Linked DNA regions of Xenopus tropicalis. The protein of the gene in region 1 interacts with the protein of each later gene in a pairwise test. Links are inferred from orthologs where the notes say so. Each region holds a gene or a part of one and is shown on either strand. Other genes may lie near its edges. The genes, in order: pex12 and pex10.

What was found.
Region 2: the proteins of pex12 (region 1) and pex10 interact in a two-hybrid assay, tested with the Homo sapiens proteins (4 studies listed by BioGRID, with this or other methods). The link is inferred for Xenopus tropicalis from reciprocal best matches to the Homo sapiens genes PEX12 and PEX10.

What each region holds. Positions count from the first base shown.
Region 1 is NC_030678.2:93,513,304-93,517,897, reverse strand, and holds the start of pex12 (peroxisome assembly protein 12), read left to right. Parts: upstream 1-1,670; 5' UTR 1,671-1,811; intron 1,812-1,824; exon of another isoform or gene 1,825-2,019; intron 2,020-2,547; 5' UTR 2,548-2,619; coding exon 2,620-2,745; intron 2,746-4,594. UniProt on the Homo sapiens protein: Component of a retrotranslocation channel required for peroxisome organization by mediating export of the PEX5 receptor from peroxisomes to the cytosol, thereby promoting PEX5 recycling.
Region 2 is NC_030683.2:90,521,753-90,525,576, forward strand, and holds part of pex10 (peroxisome biogenesis factor 10), read left to right. Parts: intron 1-1,774; coding exon 1,775-1,950; intron 1,951-2,675; coding exon 2,676-2,811; intron 2,812-3,394; coding exon 3,395-3,463; 3' UTR 3,464-3,824.

The DNA.
Region 1 (4,594 bases):
CACCCCCCCCATTTCTCTCTCACCCAGTTACTGTCCCAGTTACTATGCTCTACTACCTCTCTACCTCAAACCCTTTTTCTATATATACCTATTTTTAACTTTGATTGTTTAAATAATACCGGACAGCACGCCACTATCAATACTTAATGTGACAACAGGTGAAAGGGACCCAGGAAGTAGCACCAGTATCGCAGGGCCGAGGAACGGCCCTTTACAAAGGGAACTCTTGAATACTGAAACAAGAGCTTAAGTTTTTCATGTACTGCTACCTGGTTAAGACTGATATCCACACAGATACTGTATAACCTGATCCTCTTTTACTGTCAGAAATGACTTTAACCTGTATGTGCTGTCATGGTTTGTTATGCTATAAAAATCAATAAAAAATTTAAATTTAACAAAATATATATATATATCTTTAAAAGATTAAAGTTACGTTAAATAAGAGAGTATATTGAATGTTTTGTACTTGCAAGTATATAATTCATTTCAATGTGTCTTTCAAAGGATTCTCCAATGACTTTGGGAGAATTCAGATAGCAAGTGTAATTTTCCTATGGAGCAGCAACACATACAGCCAGCAATTATCTCAGACCAGTACAAAAAGCAACGAATTTGAATGAAAGCAATGTTCCAATACTAATTCACATTCCTGCAGAGCAATGGCAATAACATTGGCAGTTATATATTTAATATATTTTTTAGAAGAGTGACATGACACAATAAGATGTAATTGGAGCCAGTCATGGCAAGCTACTATATTACAACATAAATAAGTGCTGGGGGGGGGGGGGGGGGGGCATGTGGAGCACAGGCTTGGCACAGGAGGCAAATCAACTAAGCCACCACCAAAGTTATTGAAGGCTTGGTGTGATCTGGCTCTGCCAGAGTGGACTTGGCACCTCCTTAATGACAACTAAGACATTTTATTTGGGAATCCTGAAGCAAACAATGCTCACTTGAGTGTAGGTGACATTAAGGGGAAGCGGACAGCAACGTAGGTGGTCATTCTAAAGTTACAATTCCAAGCAACTTGACATAAACCTTGCATTTTTTAACTGTCTGACTTAAGTGATTTTGTGTGATCTGTCAAGGCCATGGAGAAATAAAGGACTTTGATAAAAACATGGCCTTTTATTGTTTTATTTACACATTAAATCAGGCGTCATTTTGCTTTATGACAAGGAATTGTCATTATCATCTTCGTGTGATCACTTAGGCTAATTAAATCGTGGCTTATAGAAATCAAAACGTGTTCATGGATCTCCTGGAATTAACAACCTTCTATGTGTGCAGTAAATGCCTGCGATAACCATACCTCCCAACACAAGAATTCTCACGAAGCAGGCACCCTACAGCAGCCAGGCGGCTCCCTGCGCCCTGCCCATCCCTATCTCTACCGCTATTCTATTAGATAAGGCAAGCACCGATTTATTGCTTCGACTTACCGATAACGTACAGAAAAATACAGACTTGCTTAGGAACGAGAGAGATAAATGTCCGAATGAAGAGAAACCCAGGGAGAGGAGAAGGCGCTGTGCGGGTCGCTGCCCCGGAAATCTAGCACAGCTCTCACACACAGCTACTACCATCTGCGTTCCATACACCGGAAATGCGAAAGGCGTCTCAACAACCGGAATAAGATGTGATCCCTGCTGTCACTTTGCGTTCCAGGTTGTGAAATTGCGAGGTTGAGAATGCGATGTTGTGATTGGCGTTGCGGGGATTGGATTTATTAGAGGCTGATCCACGGGACGGTTTCGAACATTAAGTACTCCGGACTGAGCAGAATCTCTCATACACACAAGATGGTAATTGTTTTGGTCGGGGCACAATTCCCAGTGTTTGCTCAATAAGAGAAGGGTGCGCTGCAGGGCTCTGGAACGCATGCACGGGCACACGTGTGCACATACGATCTTTCACCTCAGTAATGCAGGTTCTTGTAGAGCACAGAGATATATGGTAGGGGCCTCCAAGCTTTGGCCCGGTTACTGCTTTATCGCCTGCCGTGGGGGACAGGTATAGATAACCTAGAACTCCTCCGCTCGGTTGTTTTGGTTTGCTCGATATTTGCTATATACCTGCCGAAGTGTGCATTAAGTTTATATATGTCAAAGTACATACATTGTATTTGTAAGCACAAAGCTTGACATACGTTATGCAGCTCCACTTGGTCTATTGTGTAAAGCAGGGATCCCCAACCTTTCTTACGCGTGAGCCACAGTCAAATGTAAAAAAGCTTGGGGAGCAACACATAAAAGTTAATGGAGGTGCCAAATAAGGGCTAAGATTGGCTATTAGGTAGCCTCTGTGCACACTATCAGCTTACAGGGGGCTTTATTTGGTAGTAAATCTTGTTTTTATTCAACCAAAACTTGCCCCCAAGTCAGCAATTCAAAAATAACTACCTGGTTTGGGAGCACTGGGTTGGTGAGCAACATGTTGCCCCCGAGCCACTGGTTGGGGATCACTGGTGTAAAGAATGCTAATTCCCTCTTTTCCCAAATGCATTGTAACTGTACATTGTGGTCTTCTTGGATTAAACAGGTACATTCTGGAAAAGGTTAAAGGTGCAGTCAGCAATAGTTTTCATATTGGCAGCGGAACTAAACCTCCATAATGGCAGAGCGGGGGGCCCATATTACCACCACTTCGCTGTCTGATGACCGGCCCAGTATTTTTGAGGTGGTGGCTCAGGAGAGTTTGATGGCAGCTGTGAGGCCTGCTTTGCACCATATTGTGAAGGTGAGTGCAGACTGGAAACACTAATCTCTATTGTTACATTGCTTTTTAACTACACATTTAAGTAAATTAAGTATTTCATATTTGTTTTGTCTGATTTTACAGCTTTGTGTTTTTCCTGCAGCTTCGTTGCTGTATAGTTGTGATTGTTTATATTGTCAATTTTCCGGCTTTATTTTTTTCTTTATATTGTTTAAAAAAATGTTTATTATGTAAACCTGCAATAGTGGATTTTTTTATCTGGCTATTCAATGCCATTTTAGCTGCCTGTAAATGGCTGTCCCACACAACCCTTTTGTGAGCCTGCTAGTAGTGTAAACTAAAGAAGAAAAGAGTCAGGAACACCTCAAATAGATTGTAAGATCTTTTTTGCACAATTTATATTGTAATTAACTGTGCAAAAAATATCTTTTATATTACTGCTAGAAAAAGTGAGGACTTCAATGTAGTTAGCAATAATGTAAAATGCATAATAAAATAATTAAATGAAAACTAGGGATGCACCATATCCAGGATTCAGTTTGGTATTCTGCCAAGATTTAACAGGAATCTTTCATAGCCTAATTTTCATTTGCAAATCCGAATTCAGATTCAGTTTGGTATTCAGCCAAATGTTTCACGAACGACTCGGGGTTTGGCTAAATACCAAAATATTGGATTCAGTGCATCCCTAGTGACAACCATATAATAAAGTTACCACCCAGTATTAATATCCTTATGGTAAGAAATGTAGAGGTTTATATGTGTAAAACCACATCTGAGTAGATAATTAAATATTAACAGAGCAAATAAAATATTTACATATTTAACACCTCATTTAACACCGTACCATTAAATCTAGGCATCAGCAGGGATATAGTCAACTTTAAATCCAGATGCCTAGCAGCATGCAGTGAATCACTATATTGTACAACATGGGGTTCATGTTAAAAAGGATAAAATTAGCATTAGGCTAGCAGTGGCATTTAAATGTGCTTTGCTTCTTTGTATAAAATGGTTCACTGAAACAAAGCTTCCGTTCAACAGAGAACACAATCAATTAATTTGCAGTCTAAAGGGGTGCCAGTACACTGAGCTTCTAATTGCATAGTCTGGAAGTCAATAGGGAATAACACTTAACTTGCCTCAGACCTTACAAATGGCTTAAAAATACAGATACATGCATAATTACAAATATTAACTAAAGTACACAGTCATGTGACAATATACAGGAGAGAGTAAAAGTATAATACAACTCTCCAGATAAGATCCCTACTTGAATATAGTAAATGTCAAGTCCCTTATTTGGGGAGTCACATTTGACAGAATACAAAAGAACAAGAATGTTTAGGTATAAAAAACAGCATTAATGCTTTAGTGGATATTTCTCCCCATCTTTTAATTCAGCTTTTTCTCAACTCATTCTAAAGTTTCTGAATTGTTTATTTAACCATTACACATTTTTTTTTACCTAATACCCTCATTCATACCTAACGCTTTTCATCTACACACTCAAACTATATTTGTGTATATATATATATATATTTGGCTTGTAGACAGGCAATCACGTCACTGAAAGAGTAGCGATGCCTGGGTGCAGTCCCAATGAATTTAGGAATAATAGCAAGTGAAGATGTCCCACACTCACAGGTCTTAGGTGAAATAAAAGGTGTTTATTCAATCCACATCTAACGTTTCAGCTGCCTCTGCAGCCTTTGAGAAACAATGGACCTTGCTCTCTGTTTTTTGAGAAAGGTGCTATAATTGTTTATCTAGAATTTTCTTAGATAAAGAAGGAAGTGCAAACACGAGTAACAAGAAGAAAGCTACACTAATTCACATATTTCTATTCGGATGTGGGTAAAAAAAATTG
Region 2 (3,824 bases), on another chromosome or scaffold:
GGAGAGGACCAGGAGCAGGACCAAGAGGAAAGCATTGCTCAGCATTCCCCAATGTCTATCAGAGCAGTCAGTTCTGGGAATGGAGTAAGGGGCACCCCAAAAGAAATTATGTCACAACCTCAGGGCCGTGAGTTCCCAGACATAGGGCAGGACCCAAAGAGCAAACAGTTGGTATCACAGGATGAGGCGTTTATTGGAGAAATGGCAAGTAGCCATCAGCAGGTTTCCATAAGCCAGTAGGTGGTAGCCAGCCTGCACTCTTGTTCCTTAGGGAATAGGGAAATACACACAGTTGGGGGGAATCTTCTTGCCGCAGCTAAGGTAGATTCCAGGGGAACACAGGGGAGGGGGTCCTGCCGTAGCTAAGGTTACACCCCAGACAAAAGGCTCCTTGGAACTCTTGGCAGCCACCTTTGGAGCCAGAAAGGGAACAGCCCCTGTCGTAAAACCAAAACAGGATTTGACTCCTTCTGCCAACCCAAAGGCAGCTTCCAGAGGGGCCAATCATAGCTAATCCCACTGTGCCTATGGGAAGCCACCTAGTGAGCATGCCCAGTTCAGTCTTTTGCATTTACTAGACAGAGCACTTCTCTCACAAGGGGTAACTATGTGTATTGTGTCACTATGGGGTCTGGCTCTGTGTGCCCTCACAATAGGGGCAATTACATGGGGAGGGCCAGACAGAGCTGGCTGGCTACACACAATACACACCTAGATGAGATTAACCTACACAATGCATTTGCTATAACAGGTAGGAGGGGGGCAGGGGGTACATTTCAGCATAAACAGAAATATCTAATAGTTTCATCCAACTTATACAGTTTGTTATGTCACAATCTCCAAGACCATAAGTGCAGCGTGCTGTCCTATGGCGAGCAAGGAATTGTGTGGCTGCTCCTTTATTTTCTATGGGAGCATGGAGCTACCTGCCTGCGCAAAGCACTTTTTAGGCAGTAGAGCTAGCTTTTCTTGCTGCTTCAGCCTCAAAAAAAAAGGGGGACATCATAAATAAATGTCTGTTTATACGAATATACGAACATATGAATTATCAGTGGGGTGTTAGGGCTCATTGAAGTCAAGTAGCAGCTTTAACACCCATCGAAAACATTAGGCTAATGCCACACGAGGCGTAGGGCTGAAATTTTCGGCAAGCGGATAAACGCTTGCCGAAAATTCATCCCTACGCCTCCTACTTGTGCCTGCACCCGAATGAATGGGATACACTCGGGTGCAGGCACATGTAGCCGATATACGCATGAAAACGCGAGACTTTGCATTCTCTCGCGTTTTCATGCGTATATCGGCTACATGTGCCTGCACCCCAGCGTATCCCATTCATTCGGGTGCAGGCACAAGTAGCAGGCGTAGGGCTGATTTTTCGGCAAGCGGTTTTCCGCTTGCCGAAAAAATCAGCCCTACGCCGCGTGTGGCATCAGCCTTAAAGAGGAACTCCACCCACAACTTAAGCTTTTTGAAAAGTAAACATAATGTCAAGCAGCTTTGAAATAAACATCGATTTAAAATATGTAGCCTTTTCATGATTTTTAATATAATAATATGGTTTGGAACAGTTAGAAAAGCCTGGCCCCATGTTCTCGTGCTGATTTGGCTGACTACTTTGAGACTCTAAAAAAGTAACAGTAATCAACTGTCCTCAGCCTGCCTCCAAACATCACAAAGCAATTCAATGTGGGTTATGTAGTAACTTTTTACAGAGCAGTTTGCACCAATCTTTTCATTTTATCCTAAAGTCTTTTATTAAATCTTTCCACAGCTTCGTGTACGGAGGTCAGTTGGAGATGATCAGCTTGTGGACAGAAGTTACACTTTTCTTGGTGCAATCTCATTGCTTCATCTCATGCTGCTGCTTTGGGTTCAGATTAACAGTTTTCAACAGAGGCAGGAGGCCCAGCAGAAATGGAAACTGCTTCGCCGTATGTCATACCAGAGGTAAGTACATTAATAAACCATATGGAAATCATAATTCTCATGTATATATTAATCTTTTTTCATCTTGGCCTGAATGTTCTTGACCTAGATCTTGCCAGGCCCTGCTCAGTAACCTCACAGGTAGATTGGTTTGTTGTAATTACATCACCAACATGGAGGGACTTTGCTTGAAATTTGGTTTTCCATTTATTCAATGCACTTTGCACATTGCCTTCATTGAATTGCTGCTCAGAGACTTGCGGCTACCTCCTTGAATAAAGCTATGCCTACGTTTGACAGCGCTGCATGCACAAGCGGTGGCCGAAGGGATGCTCGTAGTCAACTCCTAGCTTGCGCTTTATGCAAACACACAAGTTAGGAAGCAACAGAGGCCTAAACAGGACTTTGTAATAACCACCTGCCATATGGTGGAATTGGTTGATAGTGTCAGTGGGTTCACCCAACCAGACAGTGTCAGTTGTAGTCCAAAAAGGGGTAGCATACTAAGTGGCAGATTTATTATAAAATTATGATTTTGGGAAAAAAAAAACACAGTTGCGTTTAGTTGATATTATTATGAATACTTCCTTCCTTTGTTTTTCCATGATCACATGAATATTAATTGATCTGTTTCTAAAGCTAATAAATGCAAAGCCACACAAAGTAGTGATGATCACTTGGTTAATATAATGCTGAACTTTGCCATTAAAGTCTCAATTTTTTCCCACCTTTCTTTATATCCATAGAGCACCACCACACGAGAAATCATATAAGCGCCGTGCAAAGTGCACATTGTGCTTAGAAGTGCGCAGACACTGCACAGCCACACCCTGTGGCCATCTTTTCTGCTGGGAGTGCATCACGGAATGGTGTAACACCAAGGTGAGACTAGGGTGCAAGTACTATACTAGAGATGCTAGTAAAAGACAGACCACCTTAAGAGTCTAGGGGGATCATTTATCATCAGCAGGCAGTTTAACACCTGGGCAAAAACCCATACCAGTCAATCAGTGACTAGATGTTTATCAGCTGCAGGTAGTTGCAGTGTTTAAAAATGAGCCCCAGGGTCTGCACACTAAATAAATTAGGGTTACAGTAGAAAAATGCACAGTAAACAGTATTGCATTTTTGGCAGCTACTGTAAGCATGAATACGCATTGGTTTGTATACGTATTTGAAGGCATAAAATTATATCTTAATAAAGTTTAACAGTGAATTTAACAGTGAATTTGCATGCTTTTCAGCACGGTAGATGTACAACAAAAGAGTTCGTACATCTAGAAGGTACCTAATAAGCACTGCCCTCACCCACTATGGTATTTTGAATGAGCGGGGGGTACTTGGTAGTCTGTAGGTGTACTTACTGCTAAATTCTTTGGACATCCAACAGGTCATTTGCATTGCATGCAACACCCTTTAATTGAACATGTCCTGACAATCAAAATGCAACTGTTTTTTTTCTTAGACGGAATGCCCTCTCTGCCGAGAAAAATTTAGCCCGCAGAAACTCGTCTATTTACGTCACTACCGATGATATTCAGAAATCTACTTGGGCCTTAAGGTTTTTTTCAGTAAGAGGAGTCTTCCAGCACAGCACTTTGCTTTTCTTGTTTAGTAGAAACCATTTCTGTTGCTGTACAACAATTCTAAACCAAGTTAATGCCAGTCACAACTGTAACTAACACGGTCTTCCTAAAGTGTGCCATAAAGGACTACCTGAAATCTAATTGCTTGTGTAGTGAAGCCAAGTACTGAAATGTGTATGGCATGTTGTGGACATAGATATCCCTGTATAATGATTGGTTAAAAAAGGTAAAGAAAAGACTTATTTTATTCTCTGTGTACAAGTGGGAAAATATTTTTTAACATTGTTGCAGCATGAGCATTTTAGAAAG